Struthio camelus: one gene and its partners. The protein of the gene in region 4 interacts with the protein of the main gene of each other region in a pairwise test. Links are inferred from orthologs where the notes say so. Each region holds a gene or a part of one and is shown on either strand. Other genes may lie near its edges. The genes, in order: NUP54, WASHC3, EMILIN1 and IFT20.

The links.
Region 1: the proteins of IFT20 (region 4) and NUP54 interact in binary tests that used the Homo sapiens proteins (3 or more experiments, as listed by UniProt). The two-hybrid records come from large-scale screens. The link is inferred for Struthio camelus from reciprocal best matches to the Homo sapiens genes IFT20 and NUP54.
Region 2: the proteins of IFT20 (region 4) and WASHC3 interact in binary tests that used the Homo sapiens proteins (3 or more experiments, as listed by UniProt). The two-hybrid records come from large-scale screens. The link is inferred for Struthio camelus from reciprocal best matches to the Homo sapiens genes IFT20 and WASHC3.
Region 3: the proteins of IFT20 (region 4) and EMILIN1 interact in binary tests that used the Homo sapiens proteins (3 or more experiments, as listed by UniProt). The two-hybrid records come from large-scale screens. The link is inferred for Struthio camelus from reciprocal best matches to the Homo sapiens genes IFT20 and EMILIN1.

Annotation. Positions count from the first base shown.
Region 1 is NC_090945.1:6,654,418-6,662,050, reverse strand, and holds the start of NUP54 (nucleoporin p54), read right to left. Parts: upstream 3,007-7,633; 5' UTR 2,934-3,006; coding exon 2,882-2,933; intron 150-2,881; coding exon 1-149. UniProt on the Homo sapiens protein: Component of the nuclear pore complex, a complex required for the trafficking across the nuclear membrane.
Region 2 is NC_090942.1:63,564,319-63,571,245, forward strand, and holds the start of WASHC3 (WASH complex subunit 3), read left to right. Parts: upstream 1-3,922; 5' UTR 3,923-4,171; coding exon 4,172-4,399; intron 4,400-6,049; coding exon 6,050-6,148; intron 6,149-6,927. UniProt on the Homo sapiens protein: Acts as a component of the WASH core complex that functions as a nucleation-promoting factor (NPF) at the surface of endosomes, where it recruits and activates the Arp2/3 complex to induce actin polymerization, playing a key role in the fission of tubules that serve as transport intermediates during endosome sorting.
Region 3 is NC_090944.1:900,665-908,461, forward strand, and holds the start of EMILIN1 (EMILIN-1), read right to left. Parts: upstream 3,017-7,797; 5' UTR 2,877-3,016; coding exon 2,704-2,876; intron 1-2,703. UniProt on the Homo sapiens protein: Involved in elastic and collagen fibers formation. It is required for EFEMP2 deposition into the extracellular matrix, and collagen network assembly and cross-linking via protein-lysine 6-oxidase/LOX activity.
Region 4 is NC_090957.1:21,431,408-21,439,274, reverse strand, and holds IFT20 (intraflagellar transport protein 20 homolog), read left to right. Parts: upstream 1-4,853; 5' UTR 4,854-4,938; coding exon 4,939-5,065; intron 5,066-5,481; coding exon 5,482-5,567; intron 5,568-6,417; coding exon 6,418-6,521; intron 6,522-7,051; coding exon 7,052-7,133; 3' UTR 7,134-7,488; downstream 7,489-7,867. Other genes in the region: TNFAIP1 (BTB/POZ domain-containing adapter for CUL3-mediated RhoA degradation protein 2), read right to left, coding at 1,397-1,784. UniProt on the Homo sapiens protein: Part of intraflagellar transport (IFT) particles involved in ciliary process assembly. May play a role in the trafficking of ciliary membrane proteins from the Golgi complex to the cilium.

The DNA of each region.
Region 1 (7,633 bases), on a different chromosome or scaffold from region 4:
ACTGTTACCAAAATTGAATGGTGGAGTTGAGGTAGTGGAAACACCGAAATTCCCAATATTAAAATTCACTGCAGGATTAGCAGTTAATCCGAAACCCCCAAAATTAAACCCACTGGCAGTGGAGTTTGCAGTTTCAAGCCCACCAAATCCTGACAAGTGGGAAGCAGAAAAAGAGCAAGGCAACATTAGTTTGAAGTAAAAAGCAGGTTCAGGAAGTAAAAGCTAAAATATTTTCCATCACAGGAGACAAAACAGGCATAGTTAAAAAATGAGAGTAAGAAGTCAATTGATATTAAAGAGCATTTATTGAACACAAGTAAGACAATTGCAAGCTTAGTGTCTGACACACTCTCCTTGCATCGCTACTGTAATCATATTTTTCAACTATACCGCATGTAACACACTTGAGTCTTTTCTGTTCCCATTTCTAAGTTAAACAGGAAAATTTCCATGTGATTAAAGATTTGCATTAATAGTACTTTTTAAACCACCTACGACTGCTGAATACAGTTGCATCAGTACCAGCACGACTGACAGTAGTATCATTATTTCACAAACTATCAGGAAGGCAAGGATAAAGGATCTTTATGCCCATATACTACCCTCACACGGGTGGCTGTAGCAGCGTAACCACAGCAATACAACTTGAGCAGTTAAAGCACTACGAGCTGCTAAGATACATCTTCGCTACAGTAATCACTCTGATAACAAGCACTTAAGGGCTAACAATCACTCAAGTGCATTCACAACTTCTCTCTGTCCACCTTTGTGCTTGCAGGTGTCTGACCTCACGCACCCAAGGTTCTCCAGGCTAAGAAAAACGGGCCAATACACTGCATCCCTATCAGGTCCTCCTCAGCAGTAGCTGGGGAACAGGCTCATGCTAGGCAGGCAACTGGGATTTCTTGGGTGTGTGGTCTGCACGCACACGAAACCAAGTAACTAGCTGTGCAAGCAGTAAAATATTATCTTTTCCCTTAAGATGGGCCAGAAAGTCTGCATCTAGAACAATGACACAATCAGGAGGAGAGCCCATAAAGTAACCCGAGATAAACCAAAGATGACAAGCCCTGTGCATACTAGCCAGAGAAGACACGACTCTTCAATCTATTTTAAACATTCCAAAAGCTGAGAAAGAATAATTTTACTAAATGAGAGTAGAAAGGCTCTGATTTACATTTCACCAACACTGGCAGTCATTGGGCAGCAACAAAAAGAGGGGCAGGGGGAGTCTTTCAGTCTTTCCAAGTTCAACAGTGTTTTGCACTTCTCAGAAATTGACTTCCAGGAGCCTCTCATTCTTAGAGAAACATTACTGCAATTGAAAGTGAGAATCTGAGTGATCTGTCAGCATCAGTCAGGTAACGCATACCCCGCACGCTCTAAGAGTGACTAACGATATTTAAGCATTTCCACAACTGCATGAATACAGACAAGCGCCGGCTAAGTTCTTACAGTGACCTCCCACTGCTACTTGCAGCTGTACCCACAGGAGAAAGACATACAAACAAACGGTGGGGGGGGGGGAAAAAAGACTAACAACAACCATAATCAGAGAGACAAACTCTGATCTAAAGTGCCTGGGAGAAAAAAGCCGAGGGGTCCGTCCTGGAGCCCACACCGCCGCCGCCAAGAACTGAAAAAACAGTCTCGGCCCAGCCATGCCAAGGACCCGGCGACCGTTAGGGGCTCACCTGCAACGGCGCGTCACGACCGTTGGGGGCTCGGCTGCTGCGGCGCCTCACCTGTGTGTAGGGCTGTGGGGGGGGGGGGGGGGGGAAGGGGACACAGCTCTCGTGCGCGGCCGTTGGGCGCTTGGCTGCTGACCCCCGCGCGCCCCGCGACCCTTAGGGGTTCGGCCGCCACGGCAGGGCACGTGGGGGGGGGGCTCGTGCGCCCCGCGACCGTTAGGGGCTCGGCTGCCACGGCAGGGCACGTGGGGGGGGGCTCGTGCGGGGGGGGCTCGCGCGCCCCGCGACCGTTAGGGGCTCGGCCGCCACGGCAGGGCACGTGGGGGGGGGGCTCGCGCGCCCCGCGACCGTTAGGGGCTCGGCCGCCACGGCAGGGCACGTGGGGGGGGGGCTCGTGCGCCCCGCGACCGTTAGGGGCTCGGCTGCCACGGCAGGGCACGTGGGGGGGGGCTCGTGCGGGGGGGGCTCGCGCGCCCCGCGACCGTTAGGGGTTCGGCCGCCACGGCAGGGCACGTGGGGGGGGGGCTCGCGCGCCCCGCGACCGTTAGGGGCTCGGCTGCCACGGCAGGGCACGTGGGGGGGGGCTCGTGCGGGGGGGGCTCGCGCGCCCCGCGACCGTTAGGGGTTCGGCCGCCACGGCAGGGCACGTGGGGGGGGGGCTCGCGCGCCCCGCGACCGTTAGGGGCTCGGCCGCCACGGCAGGGCACGTGGGGGGGGGGCTCGTGCGGGGGGGGCTCGCGCGCCCCGCGACCGTTAGGGGTTCGGCCGCCACGGCAGGGCACGTGGGGGGGGGGGGCTCGTGCGCCCCGCGACCGTTAGGGGCTCGGCCGCCACGGCAGGGCACGTGGGGGGGGGCTCGTGCGCCCCGCGACCGTTAGGGGTTCGGCCGCCACGGCAGGGCACGTGGGGGGGGGCTCGTGCGCCCCGCGACCGTTAGGGGCTCGGCTGCCACGGCAGGGCACGCGGGGGGGGGGCTCGTGCGCCCCGCGACCGTTAGGGGCTCGGCTGCCACGGCAGGGCACGTGGGGGGGGGGCTCGTGCGGGGGGGGCTCGCGCGCCCCGCGACCGTTAGGGGTTCGGCCGCCACGGCAGGGCACGTGGGGGGGGGAAGAGAAAAAGGCAGCTCCCCGGCCCCAGCAGAGCGACTGCAGCGGCTCCTCCCTCCCGCCCGCGCGGCCGCTCACACTCACCGGTAGGGTTGGCGGCACCGGCCCCCGCCGTCGCCCCGAAGTTGAAGGCCATGAGGTGCTCCTGGCGGGGCCGCGGGAGCAGCGTGCAACGCCCGAGGCGTCCGGCTGGAAACAAACCCCCGCTGCTTCCGGCCGCTGCCCAGCGCCGCTTCCGGGTTATACCGCCGACCTCCGAAGCAAGCGCGGCCCCGCCTGTCGCCACGGCAACGCGCGCCGCAGAGGGGCGGGGCGCGGCCCCGGGCGGTGACGCCACGGATGACGCGAGCCGCCTCCCCGCCTCCCCCCGCGCGCCCTCTGCCGCCCCCTGGGGGCCGCCCGGCGCGGAGGCTGCGGCGGGGCCGCGGGTGGGAGCCGGCCCGGGGCCCCGCAGCCTGGGAGTGAGCGGCTCTCGGCGCAGCGCTTCCCTCAGCGCACTGAGGGGCAGAAGCAGAGCAGGGCGGCTGCGCCCGGTAAAAGAAGCGTCACACGCCCAGGGTCGCTTAAATAGAAACATTAACTTTTATTAGTGCGACGTCTGATCTGAATGTACAGTGGAAATAAAAACTGCTCGTCTCAAGAAGTGAGCCACGCGTGCAGACACAGTGATTTGCGCTCAAGTGTCTCCTCTGGTCAGCCACCGGGAAATAACTTCAGCTTAAAAAACAATCAGTAAACAATCAGCGAAGTTGACAATCATCCCCCACAAGTCTTCAGCACTTGTAAGTAACTAAACGCTGCACGGGATCATCCTTGGCTCCGAGAACAACTAATACTTTGTGGAGCAGCAAAGGGGAGGGATTACGTGTCCAGTCTTTGCTGGGCGCAGCATGTGCAACTCTTACCAAGATGCCTGGGTGCCCCGGGGAGCTGCCGCCCCGGCGCTCAGCACCCTGCCCCGTGCTGGACTCCCGCTCACACCAAGGGTGGCTGCACGCTGACGGCTTCACGCGTTTTACAAGGGCCAATGGTTTCTTCCTCCCAGCTGCGCCGTGCAGTTGAAGCGCCACCATCCCTGGATAGCAAAGGCGGCAGCTCCCCCTGCTCCTACGCGAGCGCCCGCACAAAGTTGCCCAGCGTCCTCGCAGCCCTGTACGTCTCCCGTGTCACCACCAAGCGCCGGGAGGCGGACGAAGGCGTGCTACGGAGCAGGGGAACCAAAGCTCCAGCCACCCTGCAGGCCCTGGGCAGCGCAGGAGCTTGCGCCGGCACACGAGTGTTATTGTCATCATACACACGATGCACTCACAGGAGTAAAATACATGTTTTAGTGTTTTCTTGAACACTTACAAATAAAAAGAGAGAACAAAAGAGACCCTGGCGTCACAGAAAATAGCCAGACCACTGATCACACCAAAATAGTGCAATAAATTCTTGGTGATAACTGTCCCCACTGCGTGAACCACCAAACTGTCACCATGTCTAAGTTAGTGAGGGAAAGCCTGGTGTCCAATGCGAACAGCTCTTCCAAAGTACAGCTGCTATTTTGTAGATGCTGTATTAGTAGGAGGGCATAAGACTCCACTACAAGGCATCACATGGAAATACACTGGTTTAATAAACCAAAAAGGAAATAAAATATCAGCCAAACCAGCAGGCATCTTTTAGGCTCGTTTCTTTCTAAAATTCTGTAGTCATTTTACTAAGACATTTATGTACCTTCCTCCAAGCAGCTAAGCATTTGTCTGTCAATTTGTACCCATTTATAGGGGAGGTTTCAGAGGATCCCACAGAGCCTACAGCAGAACGCAACTGACTTCTGTGGGCACAGGGCTAGGTCAAGCTACGGTCTTCCGAAAATCCGTCTGCTTCAGTATCTGTTGCTGGAAGATTCAGATGTTCAGAAGCCCAGAACAACTGTGTCTAAACCAAGAGACTAAAGACAACTTTTGCCGGAACTTTGCCCTCAGGTCCTCACCACCAGCAGAGAAGAAAGCAGCCCTGAAATCAGTAGAAAGCCACTTTCCACAGCACTGTGAGAATTTCCACCCTTGCACCAAAACTGAGAAGATGCAGAAAAACAGTCTGACTGTACAAGAATAAATCGAGTGTCTAATAGTAGAGCAGGAAAAAATAATTAAAGAGTTACAGAACCTAACCAGATCTTCCCTGTGTATTAGGCGGAGGAAAATTTCCTCCTTTTTGGTTAAATGCAGATTTAAGAAACAGACGATTCCCAAGGGAAAAAAAAACTTCTCAGAAACAGGTCGCAGAATGGAGGTACTGCAGCAATTCAGTAAGGAAAAGAGAAGTGCAGCTTAACGTGCTGGATCATGTTAGGGAAGCACACACAAACAAACAGCTAGCAACAGTAATTCAGAGAGCTAGGATGTTCATCTTGCATCTTCAGAAAGAGAGCAACACTGAAGGGCAAAGCCCCTCGTATATGTAAGGGGGAACGGCTCCCCTGATGGCAAAGGAGCCACGGAGGTTTACAGTGGCTGAGCAATGAGCCCAAGGAACGGAGTTACCACCTCTGAAGTCCTGTGTCAGGCTCTGGCTTGCCTCCGCTCCCTAGTCCTTGAGACCAGCTGCAGCTCTGAAGTCACCCCCCCCATCTGCCTTGGAGTTGGCTGAAGCCACTTTGGCCAAAGCACCTGTGGTGCAGGGACTGCTCGCTAATTCTCTCCGGAAGGGGGATTTTACCCTCTGAAACATTATCATTTGATCAGAATAATCTTATTCCTTCTAGGAATCTTATTACTTATTTATTAAGACTAAAACTGGGAAAACCATGGGCAATGGTGGAAGCATCACTGAGGATTTTAGTTCTGTGCTGCAGTCTAGACACTCATGCACAAGATGCAGCCAAGGCAGATCGCGTGCCTTTAGAGCGCAGTGGCCTGGCTTGTAGAACGGAGACACTGAGGCCTTGCCGAGTCTCCGGCCTACACTGTGCAAGACAAACTGCCTGTTAGCAGACGAGACTCTGAATATAGATGCCTTGGAGCCTACCTACATGCTGTGGCACACAGATACCAGAGGCAGCTCTACAAGGGGAGCAACGAACTCCTTTAGCACAGAGCGTGATGGAGCCTAATCAACCCCCCCAAAAAGTCAGTGCACACTGACTCGAGAAGGAGATACACACTCACGTGGCTATACTGTGCTGATTATAGTAGCCACGCAGCCTGGTGCCTCTCCATATCTGCCTGAGAAAGACTTATCTTAGTGGGGAGCTGCCTCACATTGGAATCAGCAGTTTTTCCCTGCCCCCTTCCTGACACCATAATTTGCAGGCAGACTCTCCCCAGGGTATGACTTGGCAGGCAGCTAGGAAAGAAAATCCACTGGACTTTCCCTATGAGGCAGATTCTCTCAGACATCAGCCGAGGAAGGAAATGAATAGCGCAAAACCATTAAGGTGACTGACTCCAACTACATATCCGGCATCCGGGACATGGCAAGAAGAGCAGCAGTCTGGGTTAAAGTAGAGCAAAGAAAGTTGCCAAAGTGTTATCACAGAGCATTATCTGCAGCCCAGACAGCCAAAAGGCAACATCTGGGGGACATGGAGTAGAGATGATAGTTTCAGCCCACGATGTCGAAGAGAGGGGTTGCTCCAGAACAGCTTCGCTGAGGTGACTGCATGTAAAAAGCTGGAACGAGTCTCTTATTCCTGGGGTATACGCTTACAGTTCACAAGGAGATAGGCAGGCAATGTCCTAGCGGAGTCCTGTTCCTCAGCCAAGCAGCAAGCTCGGGCCCTGGCTTAGGATACTAATTTGTTAGGCTCTGGCCTTCTGCTGAAAGCACAGCTTGAGGCAAATCTGCCCCTTGTGTGGAACAGGCAAAGCTGGAACTGCAGCACTGTGAGGACCCTGGGCTGCGGCAAGCGCTTTTAGACAACACATAATAAATAACTGTCATCACTGTGAAAGTTCCTGGATGGAACTGGCTCCAGATGAACAAAACTGCTGAGCCAGTTGTCAGCTAGGCAAAAAGATAAACCAAAACAATGCCAAAAACAATGCCTCTGTTTTGAAAAAAACAATACATTTTAAAATTTGATTCACTATCTTATCTCATGGATATTTTCTCAATGAAAATACTCCTTGCACTGGGGGAAAAAATACCTTTGTTTTTAAAACAGCAGAGTTTCCACTTGACAAGTAAAAAAACATTTTGGCTTTTCAGGGCCCTATACATACCTTAATGTGGAGGTCTGCTTGCATCCTAAACAATACATTTAACTGCCAAGTCTTCGATCACATTACACCTCACAGTTGATAATTGTGACACAAATATCAGAGAAAAAAGAATACCATTTTGTACCCTCCACCATCAAGAGCAATGCTGTGCTTTGTTTTGTTTTATAAGTTCAAGAAAAAACTAAAGGATAAATGTATCACTAACATGCAATGGGATCCTGCGCACAGTTAAAACAGGTAAGAGGTCTGTAAGGAAAAACATTTCAAATCATTGGCTTCTTTTTACTTAATATCTATGTATGTTTAACTAAATTTCAGTGAATGTTTTGGATTAGTTTTACAAATCAGTCCTGTGAAAGGGCCAATGATACTAACAGTCAGCGCACCCTGGTAGTAAGAAGCCTGTAGCACTCTACAGAAAAGACAATACGAGGCCTACAGCAAAATTTTCAAGTGTTCCTGGGTGACACAGGAGCCTGCTGTAGTGTACAATACCCTGCTAAAAGGGTACTCCCGCAGCCCACATTCCTAAGGCCATTTGCAAATTTTACCCGCGTCATTCTTATAACAAATCAGGGCATTTTCTTTTCACTGATATAGTGGTTATGATCATCTATGGCTGTCA
Region 2 (6,927 bases), on a different chromosome or scaffold from region 4:
TTCAACTGAAATTTATTTTGATAACTGTTGAACAGTCTTTAATCTTGGCTTCGCTGAAAGGTGGAGCTACATAACTGAGTCTTTACATGCCTACATATATATGTACACATGCATAGGATATAAGCTGCTTTCAGTTACATACTGTACAGTATTTATTCCTTAAATGTGATATTTATCATCCAGTATGGGTGCTGGTACAGAAATTCATTTTCAAATCGTACACAGTGTAAATTTGGATATTATCCCTGAATTATTTTGTATAAATCCTCCCGCTGGGATTCAGACATTAATAGTTCCAGTTTAACTAGCTCGATTAAAACATTTTAAAGAGGTTTTGGAAAAATTTGGATCATTTGCCTCCACTCTGTTTGTGTTTTTCACTTTTCATACCCTGCATTTTGTAGTTCCAGCTGGGAGAAAAAGTGCTGTGTTACAGCTTTCTGCGCAGTATTTTTGGCCAAATCAAAAGAAGGAAGTACCAGAAAGTTCACAGACGAGCCGATTCTTGTCAGACTTCTTGTCCAATTTTACAGATCAAATGATTCAGCTAAGATTTGGCTAAGCATCTATATTATAAAATTTCTTTAGCAATGCCTGGAAAACTTACATTATGGGCATTTTTTGGTAAATGAGATTCATTCTTCTTGCATACAACTTGTCCTTTAAGATAATTAAGATGGCAAGATAATTCACTTAGATATTTTAAACAAACAGTTCCTTCCCCCAAAAATAATTTGCAGAATTGCCATAGGCTAGATTAAACCTATTGAATTTGTAGGCTAACCCCCTCCTTCCTTTGAGAGATGTGAGAAATTGCCAAGTATATGTCACTGGGCCAAAACACCGTACAAAACCCAGGTTGTTCAATAATTCAAACAGTATGGACAAAAAGGACTTTGCTATGTAGTATTTTAGCTGAAAGAATAAGAGGGATATGAGTATGACGAAAGATAAGTTAAAGAAACCACTAAATACGAAATCAAAGAAAAGCAGCTTCAGCACATAAATGAATATTTTACCTAATTTCGGAGCAACAGAGGTAGGTACTCCAGTTCTATTCCAGTCCTCATAGATCCTGGAAATGGGATTGCTTAGTGAAACAAAATAATTTGGAAGTAAACTGAGAATTTAAAATTTTAATTAAAATTAGCATAGCACTTTAGGGATATAATCTTCACTTTAGGGATATAATCTTAATAGTATTAAAGTAATTAGCACCTTTTGGTTCATCTCATCACATGAGAAGCTTCCTACTGACAGCCTCAGACTATGGTAGATTCTTAACTGCTCTAAATTTAGATAGTTTTATTGGATTTATGAGTATTTAGAGGTAGCCATGAGGTGTTTTCATCAGGCACTTACTCCACTACACTCTATTTGGATACACTGCTGTTACAAACAACCTGGAACCCCAAATTGCTCTGATTTGTCTTGTCTTCCAGTAATACACAAACCTAGAATATAAATGAATTAAAGTTTTAATTAAAAAGGTTGAGCTGTTTGTTATATCATTGGAACAAAAGATTACCAACAACCTCATTCCAGGATCTTTAGTTGCTTAGCTTGGATTCTCCAAAGCACAGCCCAGGTGTCAGGACTGAGAATTCTGTGCTCACAATGAACACTCCAAAGGTTAGCCTCTTTTCTGAACTAATTATTTTTGTCAAATCTGTGAATAAACTCTGAGAGTTAATGACAGTTTTCACAGAAGGAACAAATGCAATCTGCATGTACTGCTGGAGCTGGGGCTTACTTAAAACTGCTAGTGTGCCTGATGCTCTCTTTGGAGCTATGTGTTAGGAGATTTAAAGGTAGTTTCTCATCCTTCATTCATACTTAATCAGCCACAGGATTGGATGCATGATCTATCTGTAATTGCCATTCCTGGCTCTTTTAGAGGCAATGTCCTAAAATGTGTAATGACTTGTTCTTCTTTGAGCCTAACCAGCTGGCTGGTTGATCAGTCCCAAAGAATACAGACAGTATAGCTCACAGAAGACCTGTTGACAATGTGGAAACCAATTATTTAATACAAGATAGGGTTCAAACACTCTCTGTTCATTTCACAATCTCTTGTATATAACTGTGTATAAATGTATATACCACATTCAAAATCTTATGAGCACAGATGGCAGATGCGGTTAACAGGGCCAGAAGATCAGCTCTCCTTCCTAAGCTTTTACTGTGACTATCAGAGTTTCAGCCAGCAAAATAGCTATCTCAATCACCGTGCACAGTTCATTATATATTTTTAAAGTTACACATCAGATGCGCATCCAGCAAATAAGTGTTTCTTTCTATTGCTGTTCTCCTGAAACGCCAAGGGCGAAGTTGCATGAGATGGCAGAATTATCTGCATTTTGCTACCACTCCCTGAAAGGAAAGGTCTCGTTTTCTTTTAACACTGCCCCTCCCTTATACACAGACTCTGGTGTTCAATGCACACTTCAGCTGATTTGATTCAGCTCATTACCCAAAGAGGAAAAACTCCCTCCTCTAAGGTTAGTTGTCTGCCAGGATGGCAATTTGAATTGCCTCAAGGATGGGTTCACCGAGAACAAGTGATAAACTGAGTTCACCAGCTGGTGGTGAAGGGTGAGAGGGAGGTGGAAAAGCCTTTCGACGAAGCAAGCTATTGGAGTGGTCCATACCGTCTTCATTTTGGGACCCCACACCTAAATGGTTTGATTAGTGCTCTGAAATTAGCCACAGCGGAAAATAACATGAGCAACTTCTCAGAGATAAAAAAAAAAAAAAGAGGTTGATTGTTTTACAGTTAGGGAATTATTCCGGATGAACACTTGGAAACCTACTGACCATTCCCTTTTTCCTTAGAGTCTGATACCCCTAAGTTTCTTTGGCCGAGAGAAACAGAGTAGACCTTCTTATAACCTAAACATGAGAGCAAATAGAAAGCAGTGGTAGGTATTGCTGAACAAAAGAAAACATCACCATAGGTCAGCACAGGAGGCACATATACAGCAAGGGCATCTTTGGAAAATACCAACATTACTGTATGGTGAAGAACTTCAATGAATAACCTGCTTCATTGTCACTAAATACTGGTATTACTTTTCTGCTCAAGCTGACTGTGATCCCCTATTGTTTTAATGATACGAATTTTCTATTATGTCTTTATTCTCATATCATGTGTTAACTATTTAAACACTCTCCTATCCATTGTTACCCTATGATCAGAGGAAACCCCATCTTTCACCTTGTCTGGGTTTACTGGTGAGCTGTACCACCAGTACACCAGTTATTGCAAAATCATCAAAGTGAACATTCAGCCGAGCTTAATTCTTATAAATCTTCTCATGTTAAATATCCTGTCAAAACCAAACAAATAAAAGGCAGAAGTGAGAGATACTGCTATTTAAGAGACTTGTTCAAGCGAAAAGTTACTTGTTTAGTAAAGGCCCGTTACAGTCAGCTTTCCAAACACATTTCATGAATGTTTTCAACATATCTTTATTAAAAATGATTTTTTTATATTTATTTTTATATTATCCTTTTTATATTACAGACGTATTTTTTAAGTTTTGAATATATCCATGAGATACGCAGTACAATCCTGGAAAACCCTAAGGAAAAGCACTGATAAAATCTGAATGAAACTATCAGTTTATAAAATACGATTACAGAGATGATAGTGGCAGAGCACTAAGCAGCATTAACTGAAACACTAACGTTAAGACAGGCCGCAGCTAAGGTTCCCCGTACTCCCTTAGCTCCTTTTGCAGTAAGGTACAGAAATCTTTCGTAACTTGATTGCCCAGGCTCATTCACTGCTCGTGACTTTTATCCGACCCTCCATCATCCAAAAAACGCCCCAAAAAATAAAAAAAAATCAGTTTCCTTGCGGATATTTCTCCTTATTTGGCTGCCTGACGGCTGGGGAAGACCTTTCCCCTCCACAGCCCGTTATCCAAGGCCTTGTTTTCAGACAGGTCGGTGCGGCAGCGTGAGCCCCGGCCGCAACGGGGGCCTTTTGCCAAACGCACTAGAAGAACAAGGGCGAAGGCAGCACCGCGGTGCTTCAGCAGCCGCCCTTACAAAGACGCGGAAGGAGGCCGGTAGAGGCGGGGGGACCTGCGCCCGCCGCCGCCGCCACAGCTCGCCTTCCCCCCCCGCCCCCCCAACCCCGCACCTCGCTCGGACTACACTTCCCATGGCGCATTGCGGCAGGGGCCGGGGCGCTGCACATGCGCACAGCGGCCAGCGCCTTGCCGGAGCCGGCGGGCGGGTTTGTTTCCGGGCGGTGGTCAGAGGTCGGGCGCGCAGCGCGAGGGCCTTGCGGGGGGCGGCGGGGCTGTCGGCCGCCCCTCGGCCGCGGGGCGGCGGGGCGATGGATGAGGACGGGCTGCCCATCGTGGGCTCCGGCATTGACCTCACCAAGGTACGGGGCGCCGGCCGCCGCGGAGGCCGCAGCTGGCCCGGCCCGGCCCGGCCCGGCCCGGCCGCGGCTGCGCTGACCCTGGTGCTGGGCGGGCCGGGTGCTGCCGCCCGAGGCCCCGGCGTGGGGGGTTGGGGGCGCCCGGCCGCCGCCCCCGGGGCGCAGAGTGGTATGCGAAAGTAACTTCGTCCCTGCAGCGGAGGCGCCCGGCAGGCCCGGCGGTTTGTCTCGTCTTGAGCTGTGTCTGCGAGGGGACAGTCTTGCGCTCTTCCAGAGGCGCTTGGCTGCAAGTAACAGCGTCGTGTTTACGGGTTAAACCGTGTCGGGCTTCGAACTGTGAAACAAACCCTATGCAAAGCTGCCTACCTTGGTCTTTTAGTGATTAAAACAAAAAAAAAAAAAAAACCCACGTTATTAGCTTTGTTTATGAAATATCAAGCATAAGGATTGGACAGTTCCAGGCCTGATGATTCCCCTTCCTTCCATCCATCTTCCTAGCCCCGTAACTTTCTGATAAGGATTTGACCGCTGTTTGATGGTTTTGGAGCTACAGAATTGAACTTTAGGAGATCTTGGACTACAGGTGAACAGATTGACAACTGAAGCGATAGTAACAACAATCTCACAAAAAATCAGGATGTTTTCATGTTGGCAAAGGTAGTGAATGGCTGCACTGACAGGTGGGAGTGCAGCAAACAAGTAGCAACCGTAAGTGCTTGCTGAACAGCTAATCCTGTCAATGTAGTCGTACTCAGGTGCTGATTAAGACAAACTGTGGTTCAGTGCAGCTAAAGCTTTGCTACAAATGTTTTTCCTTGTAAGTGCTCTGCTTGAATCAATTAAGATTCCCTGTGTAACTTCTTATGTGGAATTTAAGACTTTTCACTATTGTCCAAAAATGAACTCTGAAGCCCTGTAATTTTATAGGCAAACATTTGTGTGAATGTTCTCGGTTTGCATCTTTTCTAATGGTTTAAATAAAAATGCCAGCTATTTGTTGCAAATGAACACCACACCTGTTTTCGACAAATATAACCTTCTACACCTTTTAGCCTGAAAAGTACATGTGCATGAACCTCCCACTTGGAAGAGCGACACTGAAGTCTAATTTTAGGATAATCTTAGCTTGAAAAAAATATATAGGTATTCAGTAAAGACAGACAGCAATTTCACTACTCCTTATTTTTGATTGTGAAGTATTGATGATAGTTTTAACTGAGTACTTACATGGATGGACAGGTTTTCTTTTTCCTCCTTAAACTTCCAAAAGAGAGGTTCTGACCTGCTCTCTCTCTCTTTTTTTTTTTTTTAATTTTAATGCTGATTTTCAAGGGTTTTCATAATTTCATTCAAAAGCATTTGCTTAAATAAGGTAACTGTCCTTCAGTTATGTGAATATTCCCTTTTCCATGTATCTTTTAACTTTTCAAGTATGACATTAGTAAATTTTTAATGAAAAAGAATTTGTATATCTATAAGCAATGAATAAACATATATATATGTATATATATATGCATTCATATCAGGCACGCTTAGGGCTTACTTCTAAAATAATTTCTTCTAAAATACTTGCAGTTTTTTATAACTATCTTAGTCTAGATGTGAGAGTTGATGCCTGTGTATAAGCTAATTTTCTTATATTGTTTAATGCAGGTTCCTGCTATTCAGCAGAAAAGAACTGTAGCATTTCTAAACCAGTTTGTGGTTCACACCGTACAGTTTCTCAACCGATTTTCTACTGTTTGTGAAGAGGTATGTTTATTGTTTCCCATTTGTCAATTTGTATAGATGAAAAAACAAATTCAGAAATGAGAACCATTCAATTTGATACGTTTTGCTGCAAGATGGCCAGGTAGCTTAAACCAGAAAATTTAATCGATGCAGTGTTTCTCTTGAGTGAAGACGTAAGACAGATTTTTTTTTTCCAAGTTACCCATGTGAATTGCTGATTGTACCAGACTGATAACCTTTTTCCTTAAACTTTTGCATTTGGCACAGTCTTTGGACTTTTTTCTGAGCAGCTCCATTTGTGGATATGCTCTTCTTTTGGAAGAAGAATGCCTTCTTTCTATGCTGCTGGATCTATTTTGAAAGTCAGTATTCATCTCATCCTACGATGCACATCAAAATTTTCTTGCAAATATTTTCCACCTTTACTTTGAAAGGGTGATATGCTAAGCTCTGCATGTAAATGATATTCATGTGAAAAAAAGACGTTTTTGGCAAGTGATTAGCATGGAACATGAGGCAGTTGATTTTAGTGTTTTCTCAGAAAGAGAAAAGTAAAAACAGTAAAAGCTGACAAGTTTTTATGGTGAATTTAGTGTCCAAGAAAACATACCAGACTGACAGTACTAGAATTGATCACAGAACAGGTCTAGAGTGTTTCATCCCTTGTAGAAAGGTTGGTTTCTAATGTGGCTTTAAGCTTAACCTTTTTATCATGAGGGTTTTTTTGTAACTGTTGACTCGCTTACTCAACAAAGACTACTATACAGCCCTAGCCAGCAGCAATTGTCATATCCAATTAG
Region 3 (7,797 bases), on a different chromosome or scaffold from region 4:
GCACGCACCCAGCACCCTCCTGGTGCACACCCAGCACCCTCTCAGCGCACACCCCAGCACCCTCCCGGCACACATCCGGGCACCTTCCCAGCACACACCCCAGCACCCTCCCCGGCACGCACCCAGCACCCTCCTGGCGCACCCCAGCACCCTCCCAGTGCACGGCCGGGCACCCTCCGGGCAGGCGCCCGCCCAGGGCTGCCACGGCCCAGGGCGGCCGGGTTAAGGGGCTGGATCCTGCCCCGGGCCGGAGCCCTTTCATCTCCGCTCTGCCCGGCCGCCCGCAGCGCCGGGGCCCTTTGATCACCCTGGGCATGGCGGGGGCACGGCGGGGGCACGGCGGGGGCACGGTGGGAGCACAGCGGGGGCAGAGCAGGGGCACAGTGGGGGGCACGGCAGGGGCACAGTAAGGTGCACAGCGGGGTGCACGGTGGGGGAACGGTGGGGCACACAGCGCGGGCACGGCAAGGGGCATGGTGGGTGCACAGCGGGGGCATGGTGGGGGGCACAGCGGGGGCACGGCAAGGGGGCATGGCGGGGGCACAGTAGGGTGCACAGCGGGGGCATGGCAGGGGCACAGTGGGTGCACGGTGGGGGGCACAGCGGGGGCACGGCAAGGGGCACGGTGGGTGCACAGTGGGGGGCACGGCGGGGAGCACAGCGGGGCGCACAGCGGGGGCACGGCGGGGGCAATGCAGGGGGCACGGCGGGGGGGCACAGCTGGGGCACGGTAGGGTGCACGGCGGGGGCACAGCGGGGGCACGGTGGGGGCACAGCGGGGGGGCACGGCAGGGGTACGGCGGGGGCACGGCGGGGGGGCACGGCGGGGGGCACGGCGGGGGCACAGCAGGGTGCACCGCAGGGGGGCATGACAGGGTGCACGGCGGGGGCATGGCGGGGGGGCATGGCAGGGTGCATGGCGGGGGCACAGCGGGGGTACGGCGGGGGGGCGTGGCAGGGTGCACGGTGGGGGCACAGTAGGGTGCACAGCGGGGGCACAGTGGGGGTATGGCAGGGTGCACGGCGGGGGCACGGCGGGGGCATGGCGGGGGGGCACGGCGGGGGAACGGCAGGGGCACGGCAGGGGCACGGCGGGGGGGCACAGCAGGGTGCACGGCGGGGGCACGGCGGGGGCACAGCAGGGTGCACGGCGGGGGGCACAGCAGGGTGCACGGTGGGGGCACGGCGGGGGCACAGCAGGGGCACGGCGGGGGGGTACGGCAGGGGCACGGCGGACCGGGAGCCCCGCCGGGGACGGCCACCCCGCCGCGTGGCTGCGAGGGGAAGCCGGGCGCGGGGCCGTGGGGTGCTGGGGGATGCCCGGGCTGCGCGCCCCACGGCCTGCCCCACTGCCGCCCCGGCTGCAACCGCAGGGGCCTCGGCCAAACCCTGTGCTGCGAGCCCGGCCGAGGGGGCCGGGGCCGGGGAGCGGGGCGTCCCGGCGCCCCCCCGCCGGCCCGTTCCCGTCAGCCCGGCTGGTTCCCCCTCAGGCCCCCGGCCGGATTCCAGCTCCTTCCCCGGGGGCCTCCGGGAATTCCTGCGGCGGACGCCCCCTCCCTCCCTCCCTCGCCCGCCGGCCCCCCGGCCCGGCGCCCCGCGGCGAGCGGGGCAGCCGTGGGGCGGGCTGCGGGGTCCGGGCAGCCCTCCACCCCCCCGCCCCAGCCCTCGGGGCGCCCCCCACTCCAAGCCCCTCCATGCACACACCTTTCCTTAAAACTCCTCCTGCCCAGACCCCCCCCCCGTCCCCCCACAATGTGCACCCCGTCCCCAACCCCCCCCCGCCCAGTGCACCCTCGAGGCTGGGCTCCTCCTCGTGCACCCCGTTCCCCAAACCCCGCCACGTGCACCCCGTCCCCGACCCCCCTCCATGTGCACCCCGTCCCCATCTCCCACCCGGTGCACCCTCGAGGCTGGGCTCCTCCTCGTGCACCCCGTCCCTGACGCCCCATGTGCACCCCTCCCCAGCCCCCAGTGCACCCCGTCCCCAGCCCCCCTGCATGCCCCCCGCTCTCAGGACCCCCCTGACACCCACCCGCCCTACCGCCTGCGGCCCCAGCCCCTCCACGCTTGGCAGCCGGGGTGGCAGCTCGGCTCGCAGCCCCGTGTCGGCACCGGGGCCCCCGCCGGGCCCAGCTCAGCCCCACGCCATGCCGCCCGGGCCCCAGGGCCCCCAGCACCCCGCGGGTGGCCCCAGGCACGGGTCCTGCACCCTGGCCCTGCTGGCGGGGCCCTGAGCAGGACGCAGCACGTGCCGGCGTCCGGCTGGTCCCGGGCACCCCACGGTGTTGGGGCAGGCGACGCCGCCCGGACGCCTGGGCTCGCCTCCCTGGCGTAGTGTGGCATGGCGTGGCGCTGCATGGCACGGCACGGTGCAGGATGGCATGCCACGGTGCAGCACGGCACGGCACGCTGCAGCACAGCACTGCACGGCGCGGTGCAGCACGGCACGGCACGATGCAGCATGGCACTGCATGGCACGGTGCAGCACGGCACGGCATGGTGCAGCATGGCACTGCATGGCACGGTGCAGCACGGCACGGCACGATGTGGCACGGCACGATGCAGCACGGCGCAGCACGGCACGGCGCAGGGCGCGGCGCAGCACGGCACGATGCAGCACGGCACGATGCAGCACGGCGCAGCACGGCACCATGCAGCGCGGCACGGCGCAGCGTGGCACAGCGTGGCGGTCGCGTCTCCTACCTGTGCCGGCTGGCGGCCCGGGCGCCGCCGTGGGCCGCGGCGGGGCCCTGCGGGGCCGTGGCCTGGACGGGGCTCAGCGGGGCGGCCCCCCCGGTGTAGAGGCTGTACCTGGGGGGGAAGTTGGCGGCCAGGGCCTGGGCGGCCAGGAGGCACGGCCAGAGCCAGGGGGCCATGCTGGCCAGCGCGGACGGCACGGCGGGCGCAGCCCTGCTCAGGAGCGCATGGCGCGTCCCGTCGCGGCTCCGTCCCTCCCGGCTGGGCTCTGCCCTCCCCTCGGCCGCGCCTCGGCCGGCCCCTCGCCGCCAGAGCCGCCCCGGCGCTGCCCGCCCGCCCGACGGGGTCCCCGGGGCCCCCCGCTTCCTGCCCGCCGCGGCCCCCTCCCCGCCCCGCCCGCGCCGCCCCCGCCTCTGCCCCGGCCTGGGCTGCCCCCCCCCCCCCCCCCCCCCCCGGCCGCCGCCGCCGCCGCCGCCGCGCACATCTGCTTCTCGTTAGGCCGGGACGCCAGCGAGGACGGCGAAGGAGGGACGGGGAAAGCCAGAGAGGCCGGGCAGGGGGCCAGGGCTGCACAGCCGCCAGCGCGGCCGCTGCTACTGCGCGGGGTCCCTGGCACCCCTTGCTGCACCCCCGGCTCCTGCCCGGCCCCCGGCTCCTGCCCGGCCCCCGGCTCCTGCACGGCCCCCGGCTCCTGCACAGCACCCGGCTCCTGCACAGCACCCTGCTCCTGCCCAGCACCCGGCTCCTGCACAGCACCCTGCTCCTGCACGGCCCCCGGCTCCTGCACGGCCCCCGGCTCCTGCCCGGCACCCTGCTCCTGCACAGCACCCTGCTCCTGCCCAGCACCCTGCTCCTGCCCAGCACCCTGCTCCTGCACGGCCCCCTGCTCCTGCACGGCCCCCTGCTCCTGCACGGCCCCCGGCTCCTGCCCAGCACCCTGCTCCTGCCCGGCCCCCTGCTCCTGCACGGCCCCCGGCTCCTGCACGGCCCCCTGCTCCTGCCCAGCACCCTGCTCCTGCCCGGCCCCCGGCTCCTGCACGGCCCCCTGCTCCTGCACGGCCCCCGGCTCCTGCCCGGCCCCCGGCTCCTGCACGGCCCCCTGCTCCTGCCCAGCACCCTGCTCCTGCACAGCACCCTGCTCCTGCACAGCACCCTGCTCCTGCACGGCCCCCGGCTCCTGCACGGCCCCCTGCTCCTGCACGGCCCCCTGCTCCTGCACAGCACCCTGCTCCTGCACGGCCCCCTGCTCCTGCCCAGCACCCTGCTCCTGCACGGCCCCCTGCTCCTGCCCAGCACCCTGCTCCTGCCCGGCCCCCGGCTCCTGCACGGCCCCCTGCTCCTGCACGGCCCCCGGCTCCTGCCCGGCCCCCGGCTCCTGCACGGCCCCCTGCTCCTGCCCAGCACCCTGCTCCTGCACAGCACCCTGCTCCTGCACAGCACCCTGCTCCTGCACGGCCCCCGGCTCCTGCACGGCCCCCTGCTCCTGCACGGCCCCCTGCTCCTGCCCAGCACCCGGCTCCTGCACAGCACCCTGCTCCTGCCCAGCACCCTGCTCCTGCCCGGCCCCCGGCTCCTGCACGGCCCCCTGCTCCTGCACGGCCCCCGGCTCCTGCCCGGCCCCCGGCTCCTGCACGGCCCCCTGCTCCTGCCCAGCACCCTGCTCCTGCACGGCCCCCTGCTCCTGCCCGGCCCCCGGCTCCTGCCCGGCCCCCGGCTCCTGCCCGGCCCCCTGCTCCTGCACGGCCCCCTGCTCCTGCACGGCCCCCGGCTCCTGCACGGCCCCCGGCTCCTGCACGGCCCCCGGCTCCTGCACGGCCCCCTGCTCCTGCCCAGCACCCGGCTCCTGCACAGCACCCTGCTCCTGCCCAGCACCCTGCTCCTGCACGGCCCCCGGCTCCTGCACGGCCCCCTGCTCCTGCACGGCCCCCTGCTCCTGCCCAGCACCCTGCTCCTGCCCGGCCCCCGGCTCCTGCACGGCCCCCTGCTCCTGCACGGCCCCCGGCTCCTGCACGGCCCCCTGCTCCTGCACGGCCCCCTGCTCCTGCCCAGCACCCGGCTCCTGCCCAGCACCCGGCTCCTGCCCAGCACCCTGCTCCTGCACGGCCCCCGGCTCCTGCACGGCCCCCGGCTCCTGCACGGCCCCCGGCTCCTGCCCGGCCCCCTGCTCCTGCACGGCCCCCTGCTCCTGCACGGCCCCCTGCTCCTGCACGGCCCCCGGCTCCTGCACGGCCCCCTGCTCCTGCACGGCCCCCTACTCCTGCCCAGCACCCTGCTCCTGCCCAGCACCCTGCTCCTGCCCGGCCCCCGGCTCCTGCCCGGCCCCCGGCTCCTGCACGGCCCCCGGCTCCTGCACGGCCCCCGGCTCCTGCCCGGCCCCCTGCTCCTGCACGGCACCCTGCTCCTGCACAGCACCCTGCTCCTGCCCGGCCCCCTGCTCCTGCACGGCACCCTGCTCCTGCACAGCACCCTGCTCCTGCCCGGCCCCCTGCTCCTGCACAGCACCCTGCTCCTGCCCGGCCCCCTGCTCCTGCACGGCCCCCTGCTCCTGCACAGCACCCTGCTCCTGCACAGCACCCTGCTCCTGCCCGGCCCCCTGCTCCTGCACGGCCCCCTGCTCCTGCACAGCACCCTGCTCCTGCACGGCCCCCTGCTCCTGCCCGGCCCCCTGCTCCTGCCCGGCCCCCTGCTCCTGCCCGGCCCCCTGCTCCTGCCCGGCCCCCTGCTCCTGCACGGCCCCCTGCTCCTGCACGGCCCCCTGCTCCTGCACGGCCCCCTGCTCCTGCACAGCACCCTGCTCCTGCACAGCACCCTGCTCCTGCCCGGCCCCCTGCTCCTGCACGGCCCCCAGCTCCTGCCCAGCACCCTGCTCCTGCACGGCCCCCTGCTCCTGCCCGGCCCCCTGCTCCTGCCCGGCCCCCTGCTCCTGCCCGGCCCCCTGCTCCTGCCCGGCCCCCTGCTCCTGCACGGCCCCCTGCTCCTGCACAGCACCCTGCTCCTGCCCGGCCCCCTGCTCCTGCCCGGCCCCCTGCTCCTGCACGGCCCCCGGCCCCCCCCACTGCCCCCGGTCCCCACAGGGCCGCCAGCCCACAGCCCGCCAGCGCGGGGGTGCAAAGGGGCCGGGACTGGCCGGGGCTGTCGCCTGCCATGGTGTCACCCCCCGCGGGGGGGGGGTGTCACGGGAGTGGGGACGCAGCCGGGACTGGGCACTGACGACACGGCCGCCCCGGCCATGCAGTGACATCACGGCCACCCTGGCCACGTGGTGACATCACGGCCACCCCGGCCATGCAGTGACATCACGGCCACCCTGGCCCTGGGCCTGCAGTGACATCACGGCTTCCCCAGGCTATGCAGTGATGTAATGGCCCCCGCTCCCAGCCCCCTATGACGTCACACCTTGGCCCCGGCCCCGGGTGACGTCACCGCCTGGCTCAGCCGCCCGGGAACCGGCCGCTGCCTGGGGAGGGGGCGCGGGTTCAGTGCAAACAGCTCCCGGCGGCCGGGCCGGGGCCGGGGGTCCCGCGGACGGCGCGGGGGGCCGGGGGGGGTGGCGGGGGGCTCGGGGCCCTCGTCCCTCGGTGGGGCCGGGGCCGGCCGCCCCCCGCCCGGCTGCCCCGAACCGCAGCCCCGCGCCAGCCCCTCCACCCCGCCCTGACACCAGCGCAGCCCAGTGCTGCCCAGTGCTGCCCAGCGCTGCCCAGTGCTGCCCGGCGCGGCCCAGTGCTGCCCGGCGTGGCCCAGTGTGACCCAGTGTGGCCCAGTGCTGCCCAGTGTGGCCCAGTGTGGCCCAGTGCTGCCCAGCACTGCCCAGCACTGCCCAGCACGGCCCAGTGTGGCCCAGCACGGCCCAGTTCAGCCCAGCACGGCCCAGTTCAACCCAGCATGGCCCAGCATAGCCCAGCACGGCCCAGTTCAGCCCAGCACAGCCCAGCACAACCCAGCACAATCCAGTTCAGCCCAGCACAGCCCAGCACAACCCAGCATGGCCCAGTTCAGCCCAGTTCAGCCCAGTTCAGCCCAGCACAGCCCAGCACAGCCCAGTTCAGCCCAGCACGGCCCAGTTCAACCCAGCACAACCCAGCTCAGCCCAGCACAGCCCAGCACGGCCCAGCACAGCCCAGCACAACCCAGTTCAGCCCAGCACAGCCCAGTTCAGCCCAGCATAACCCAACATGGCCCAGCACGGCCCAGCACAACCCAGCACAGCCCAGTTCAGTCCAGCACAGTCCAGCACGGCCCAGTGTGGCCCAGCACAGCCCAGCACAGCCCAGCACAGCCCAGCACAACCCAGCACAGCCCAGCACAGCCCAGCACAGCCCAGCACGGCCCAGCACAGCCCAGCACAGCCCAGCACGGCCCAGCACAGCCCAGTTCAGTCCAGCACAGTCCAGCACAGCCCGGCACGGCCCAGTTCAGCCCAGCACAGCCCAGCACAACCCAGCATGGCCCAGCACAACCCAGCACGGCCCAGTTCAGCCCAGCACAGCCCAGCACAACCCAGCACAATCCAGTTCAGCCCAGCACAGCCCAGCACAGCCCAGTTCAGCCCAGCACAGCCCAGCACAGCCCAGCACAGCCCAGCACAGCCCAGCACGGCCCAGTTCAGCCCGGCACAGCCCAGCACAGCCCAGCACGGCCCAGCACGGCCCAGCACAGCCCAGCACAGCCCAGCACAGCCCAGCACAGCCCAGTTCAGCCCAGCACAGCCCAGCACAGCCCAGCACAGCCCAGCACAGCCCAGCACGGCCCAGCACAGCCCAGTTCAGCCCAGCACGGCCCAGCACAGCCCAGTTCAGCCCAGCACAGCCCAGCACGGCCCTGCACAGCCCAGCACAGCCCAGCACAGCCCAGCACGGCCCAGCACAGCCCAGCACGGCCCAGCACGGCCCAGTTCAGCCCAGCACAGCCCAGCACGGCCCAGCACAGCCCAGCACAGCCCAGCACGGCCCAGCACAGCCCAGCACAGCCCAGTTCAGCCCAGCACAGCCCAGCACGGCCCAGCACAACCCAGCACAGCCCAGCACGGCCCAGCACAGCCCAGCACAGCCCAGCACGGCCCAGCACAGCCCAGTTCAGCCCAGCACAGCCCAGCACGGCCCA
Region 4 (7,867 bases):
AAGTGAATTGGGGCTAAGTTCTGTGGCCTACCTAGAAAAATTTGTCAGCCTCCCAACCATCTTCTACTGTTGTTCAGAGTTAACAAAAAGAAAAGTATTCCAGGGATGCCAAAACATAGAATAGCCCAGAAAACACAGTGTGGGAAAAACACTGTTCCGGTCTCCGAATACGAGTAAAGAACACAGACAGATCAGGAGAGAGTGGAAAGTGGAAGCAGCACAGGAAGGAGTAGTAGATGAACGTTTTTCTGATTCTAAAACATCCCTGAGGGCACATTGACTAGGAAACAGGATGTCTGACTTGCTGGCAAACAATAGCAATGCAGGACACACGCAAGCAGAGGACTTAGTACAGTGACAAACTCTCTTCCATAATGTGGAAGGCAGGAAAAAAATGGTATTTGGGGACCCAGGTGCAGAGGACATTATAAGAAAAGTAGACTAAACCACTACTAGATTCTCCAGCTGTGGCTGTCAGAACACTAACCCTGTCCTCTCTTCAGGCTAAGGCTCTTACACAAAATTGCTGGGCTAAACTGATTTAGTCATATACAAACCAGCGTACTCAAGAGGAATTTGGTTTAAGTGATATGCACACAAAGAAGTTGTGTCAGTTTAAGTAAAAACACTGTTATGCATCAAGTTTAAATTGATGCAGTCTCAGCATGTGGAAGAGCTTTCACAGATGAATATTCTGAAACACCAAGAGGTTAAATACTTGCCATCCTCTCTCAATCTCTTCTCCACAGTGCTACAAGCCTCATTCCTAAGGTATCATTTTGCTATGGGATAGTAAAGAGAGGAAAACAGAAGCATTCATAGGCATTGCTGACATCAGTCTTCTTACTTGTTCTGTTCTCTATAATTTATTATGGATTTTTATTTTTATAATGCCAGGAATCAATGTCCAGCATGAGGCGACATAATACTTGACTGGTGACTAAATACTGTCACAACATGGATATGTATTGTCAGCAACAAGTGGAACATACTATTAGGAGGGGAAAAAAACCCAGAATCCTCAACATAGCAAGCAAGGCTGTTGAGTTTGAAAGATGAAAACTGAATGTCCCCCCACCCCCAGTTTTGATTGACACCACTATATATCACCCAATAAATGACAACCCATGTGCCGTATGTTCAGTCTTGATAACGTCAGCAATCTGTGTACCAGCTGGGATTGTAGCAAAGAGAACTAGTCCCTCCTCTAGTTAATTTTAGTAACAAAAGAGCACATTTTCATAAGGCACGGAGGCTTGCTAGAGCCAATGGGAGCTGGGTGCCTAATGTTCCAAATTACTTTCCGAATACGTTTTTCCTTATACCCTTCACTCAGCATAGTCTACAAAAACTATTGTTTTACAAAATTCTCCACATCAAAAGACATTCCCCTTACCTTCCTTGTCTGTGAGCACTTCCATTCTGCCACTGAACATAGCCTTCAACATTGTGTCATGCCTGGTCAGTACTTGAACCGTAGTATAATATAAGGAACCCCCAACATTTAGTCGCACATATTTGTTACCAAGGTTGCCCCCTTTGAAGTTGCTAGTTTTGGGCTTGGATCCTGCAGCTGGACAAAGGGTGGTTAGACATGTGTCCCCTGACATCTCCTTCTGTAGATAGATGACAACCCTGCAGAGCGTGGGCTTGATGGATTCCGCCGTGATTGGTGAAGAGTCACAAGTCACGAGATGAGGAGTGCAAGGCAAAAACAGTCGTAACCCACTGGACCCTTGAAACAGAAACGTATAAAGATCAATACAGAAGCCTGGAATTACCATTTAAAACAAAAACAGGAAACCCACATTAAAGAAGAAATGTATTCAGTAGATTCTTAAGGACACATCTGCACAAATTCTGACAAAACAAGACGTAAGTGTTTTTCAAACAACTTACACAGCAATATAATGATTGTTCAGCACCATACTGTTAAGTTATGGCTGCATTACTGTTAGCGAGGCAAGTAAAACTTTTCTGGACTTCCTTTTGTTTAGTCCTCAGTCAATATAACAATCACCATCCAATCCTGTACAAGTTTAAATAATAGTTAGAATTTGGCTCCCTCCCAACTTCCCAAAATAATGTAACTTTTTCTTGTGCAAATCTAAAACACAATGGAAGAGCTTTCTGCAATGTCTCCAGCTGGGGTTTATATGAATTTTTTTTTTAACTGGAGACATTTACAGAGGTTTCAGCTGCCTCTCTTTCAAGTGCCTCGACACTAAAATGCTGGGCCATAATGCTCTATTTCCTGGTACATCCTTCATTCAAAACTCTTTTTCCTCTGTCCTGGAATGCCAAGCAGTCAATATAATACTAATTTTTCTATTTAAAAAATACGTCCAGTCTTTGGAATATTTGCCTCACGGAAAAGCCAGCTAAGACATTCACAACTTCCTTCCTCTCCCCAGTCTCACTATACTTATCTTTCCATCCAAGAGAAGCTTAGAATGGAAACAAACAAACAAACAAAAGGAGAACAAAACTCAGTTTAACAGGCCAGATCTCAGGTTCTTTAACTGGAAAAGTACAAGTACGGGTTTCTCAGCTAGCCTTCTTTTAATAACTGTTGGCCTCAGAAACATTTTGCTGGCTTTTCCCCTCTCACTATGCTTTTGTCTGTTTATCTATTTCAGACTACAAGCGTCTGTTCGCTTCTCTGTTCTGTGCCCGTGGTACATGAGTGACCTTTTATAAATAAATATAATAACCTGTTAACTGTATTGCTATTCTTCCCACATCCCTCTTCCTTCTCACCCCACCTCAGCTTTCAGCATGGAAAAAACCCACATCTCTCCATCCATCTGGTGCAGCAAATTACTTAGCAGCTACAGATGGTATCTTAAAATTGCCAGAGATTTGAATAGCTACTGAACTTAGAACGATATCTAACATAATGTTATTCTAATTAAGGAAGCACTACAAAAAAGATCTATTAAACAACAAACAATACAAAAACTTTGCAGGTCACAAAGACACAAACCAATGTTAACAATTTTAGTGCCAAGAGAGATCAGTTTGTCTATAAATGCTGGAACTCCCACTAGCTGTCAACACTCTTTACTTTCAACTAATCATCCTAGAACACAATAGTAAATTTACTTCTACATCTGAACAAGCCAATTTTTTTTTCTGAGCACATCATTTTAGACAAGTCGTCCATTGACAAATATAAGTCAAAGGCAACTGCATGTTACAAATGAACTAGGCTAGAAAAGTAATTTCAAACTGGTAAGCAGCCAGCAACAAACAAAAACTGTGCATGCGATTATGGTGCTATAAGAAGTTTATTACCCAGAAGAGCTAAAAGCTATGGAGAAATTGACCAGAACTTCTCCAAACACATTGCACATAACACAATTCCTCCTTACTAGACATAGGTGTTTACTATAATCTTTTACAAATAAGTAAATCAAGACTAGAAGCAACTATACTTATTGTTTCAGTTAAGACCTTTGGTAGACCTAAGTTATACCTCTATTTCTACAAATTTGTTACAGATGTCCTGTCTTGTTTTAGCCCATAGCGATCTCTCTTTAAAACAAAAGCATGTTTTTAAAGATAGCCAGATTGATCATGCAACAAAAGAAATAACTCCAGACCCAAACAGAGCTCTTTAATGTCTTTCTAATGGATAGCAAAATTCTCTATCCAGCCTATCCAAGTAGGAGCAAATACTATTACTGTAACATGTTTATTAACTAGCAAGCTAGGAGGCTTTTGCTGCAAACAGTAATTTGACCTTTAATTACACCCATTAACGCAAGAGAAAATTTTCTACGTCCTTTCCTTCCTGCCTTTTGTGGGAAGCAGATGGAGAACTGCAGAACAATAACACGGCAGTTCAGACACCCTATCAGGAAATGGTCCCAGTTGAGGACTTCCATAAAAAGAAATAACGTTAACAGCTCAAGAGGAGAAAAAAAAAACTTGAACAGAATCACTTCTAAAGTGGCACACTTTCTGTCTAATTTCTGGACTAGACAAAATGGTCTTAGTAGTTTTGGACACTCCCAGGCTCTGCCAAGCCCATCATGATGGGACAGAAGCATGACCCCGATCCTTGCTGAAGTCTGCACAGAGCTGAGCAGCACAAGAAAGGTTATGGATAGAGAAGGTTTAGTGGAGTCAGAAAGGAAGGTGGCATGAGCACGTCAGTGTCAGAACAGCGGAGAAAAAGGAGGTTTCCTGCGTGCCCCGAAGTTTCACATACAGATGGAGGGCAACGTTTCCAGAGACAAAGTTTCCGGGTGCTGAATTACTCGAGTCCACGCACCTGGCCTCTATTCCTTGGTCAGCAAGGGCGACAGCACCACAGCGGCAGAATGTTTCCTCTCGGGGTCTCAGTTTTACATCTGGCAAGGCAAATAACAAGGTCACCCTAGAAGCTAAATACTCATGTGAGCAGGAGTTCTCCCCTAGCCGTCTCTCACCGCCCACCGGGATGCTGGGACGATACCTGACCGCACTCTTCCTCAGCCCCGCTCGGCCGGCAGCGCCGCGCTCCCGCGCCCGCAGGCTCAGCCCCGCCGCGCCAGGCCTCCGGCCGCCGCCGCCGCCGCCCCCCGCGCCTCCCGGCTCCGCCGTGCCCTCCCCCGCGGACCCGCCGCCTCGAGCGCTCACCCCCCCGCGGCCCCTCGGCTGAGCTCATTTCCTCCGCGCGCCGGCAACCCGGAAACGCTCCCCGCCGCCGGGACTACAGCTCCCGACGTGCCGCGGGCTCGGCGGGAGGCTGGGACTACAGCTCCCGGCGTGCCGGGTAGGGCCCCGCGACTGCAGTACCGTCCCCCCTGTCGCCGTGGCAGCCGCGGTGCGGAGGGGCGCTGCCAGGTGACGGGGGCGGCGGGAGGGACGGGACGGGCCGCCGGCGGGGAAGGCGCTCGCTGCGGTGCCGGCTTGCTGCGGAGCGCGCCTGGGAGCGGCAGCGGGGGCGGCATGGCCCGCGACGCCCTGGGGCAAGCCGGGCTGCATTTCGACGAGCTGAACAAGCTTCGCGTGCTGGAGCCCGGCGTGGCCGAGCAGACGGCGCAGCTCCGCGAGGAGTGCGGCGCCTTCGTGGACAGTAAGTGCCGCTCCGCCGGGGCGCCGCGCCGCGCCCGAGAGCCCGCGCGGCCCCTCGGGAGCGGTTTGTTAGCAGGTGTCGCTTAGCGGGGCCGTGCGGGGGCTCCGCAGCTTCGAATAACCATTCCTTGAATAGACGGATCGGAAAAATGCCTTGAAGTGACGAAAAAATTAAGGAAGCGGACTCCGTGGCGTAAAGGACGGTGATGAATCCCGTTAACGTTTATGGGCTTCTCTCTTTTTTGTTCCCCTTTTATATCCTACCTGTTGTGAAGGAAAATCTTAAAGTGCACCTATTTACAGTAAACTGAAAGGACTAAGAAGTCACGGCTGAAATTCAAAGCCTATAGTACACATATTAGTCTTATTTGGTGTTATTTTGATGGATATTACTTGACTTTTTTTTTTTCTTTGCAGAAGTAGTAGAATTTCAAAAAATAGTGGGTAGCTTAATTGAACTTGTTGATCAACTAGCAAAAGCTGCTGAAAGTGAGAAGATGAAGGTACTGCGCAATTAATTACTGGCTTGTAACATACCCTGCCCTGTACAATGCATGAAAAACCAGCTCCCTTCCTTCCTACTTTTACAGTATAAACAATAATTTTCTGTCAGCATCATGCAGATATTTTCCATGGTAGTTAACATCTCCCTGCCTGTCTGGTATGAAAGCATAGGGGCTACAAAAAACTGACATTAACAACTGGAAAAATTTTATAAGCACACCTGGAGTGTGACATTACTCCTGCATTTAATAGTGCTACTGTTGCAGCTTATCAGTATATTGCATGTAAACAGAAAATGTTTTCTGATCAATATTTCTACCATTTGAACTTAGTTCATGAGAGGATCCACGAGGAGGAAGAAAGGGCTGTCCAAAGACCAAATCAATATATATCTCTGTAACTACCTCTGAAACTTTCTTGGCGTATTTCTATGCGTCACTAAGACTTTTTTCCCCCCTATTATTGCGAAAATAAAAATGAACAACTAGCAAAATTGTAGGTAGTTGCTTTTTCATCATTTGTTCTGGGGAAAAAATTATAACCAGAGCTTGTCTATCTGTAGTACTAGTCACCAATGATCAGATTGTATTTCCAGAAGAGTCAGTGGCTTTCCTGTCAGCGTGTTATGAACACTTGAAGTTTGAAGGAAGCCTCAAATGCCTTAATCTGCACAACTGCTACAGGGCTGTCTGCCTGTTCCACTAAACATTCAGTATCAACATGATATCCTCTTCTATTGTTAGCACGGCTGAAACACTTCAAAATCAATCTAATAGTAACAAAAGTGGTTTTAAAAAAAAAAAAAAAGCTCCTGATACAACTACGTCACTGCAAATCCTGTTTTGACAGGCCATTGGTGCACGAAATTTGCTGAAGTCTATAGCTAAGCAAAGAGAAGCTCAGGAACAGCAACTTCAGGCTTTAATAGCTGAGAAAAAGATGCAGTTGGAAAGGTAAGTTTTATATTAAATATAGTTTTTTGGGCATTGATTTAATATTTTGAAATGAAAGTAGTATATCATACATGACAAACTCAGCTCAATTATGTAGACTGTATACTCAGTCTTATCATCTGTGCTTGCCTGAAGGAGGAAAGTCTCTAAGCTTGTTCAAACAGTCCACCTGCAGCTAAGGTGTATCCTCCCATACAAGGCATGTATGAATAATGCAGCAGCATAATTCTATGCTTAACTTAAGGCCCTGTCTACCACTCTTGCAGGAAGCCTCATTTCTAATGTTTTTGTGGCTAAATAGAGGGGGCACGAGATCATGCAGCTAAGAAACTTAATAAAACTGTAATACAGTGCTGTTTGGATTTTTGTAGGTACTTCAGAACTGCAGTGTCTAACTGATGTAGCCACTGCTTTAAAAATTACTTATGCGCTTAGCCTAGATTTCCTTCACAACAGACCCATGAAGATAGAACTAAATCATCTAAATAACAGGAGCTGAATGTAGCTTGTAACCATTTTTTCTCTTTCAGATACCGAATAGAGTATGAGACACTATGTAAAATAGAAGCTGACCAGCATGAATTCATTGACCAATTCATTTTTCAAAAATAAAGGATTTTAAGATAAACAGCATACTGACCTGGGAACTTGACCATTCCAGGATCCTGAGGCTTTCAAAAATATGCAATTTTTCATTGTATATGAATTAACAGATGGCTTGTACAAATGAAAATGTTTTTTAATACAATTTGAATTTACACTAAAAGTGGCAATAAGGAAAGCTTTCTAACAGATGTAAATAAAGACAGTTCTGTCCTGTAGTTTTATAAAATGTTTGTACAGTCAGTAGTTCAAATTCAGATTACAATTGAATTAACGCTACTGTTGCTATGTTATGTTTCTCACTTTTTGAAGTGTGCAACTCTTTTAAATAAATCAGGAAATAAATTATTGTTTTCAGACCTTCTGGGGAATCTCAGAATTACTGCTTCTGCTAAGTTTATTTCTGCTCTTAAGAGTTTACAACTCTGCATAATCATAATGGAGAATTTCCTACGTATAATATTTTCATGTTTATAAAGACAACACACAACAGAGAGAAGCAGCAGTAATTTTATCTGTATTGATCAGATTTTCCTTTTCTATCCATTTAAAAAGAAAACAAGGAAAATTGAGCAACAGTTGATTAATTACAAATGAAAAAAGTAGAAAACATAGAATTCAGATTAAATTACATCTGAGGTGCAACGTCCATACAGCTAGTAATATTAGAGTAGAATATTTTTCTGAACATTAACTTCAAATTGATGAGACAAACTGTTCCAAGGGTACTGTAAAACAAGGGG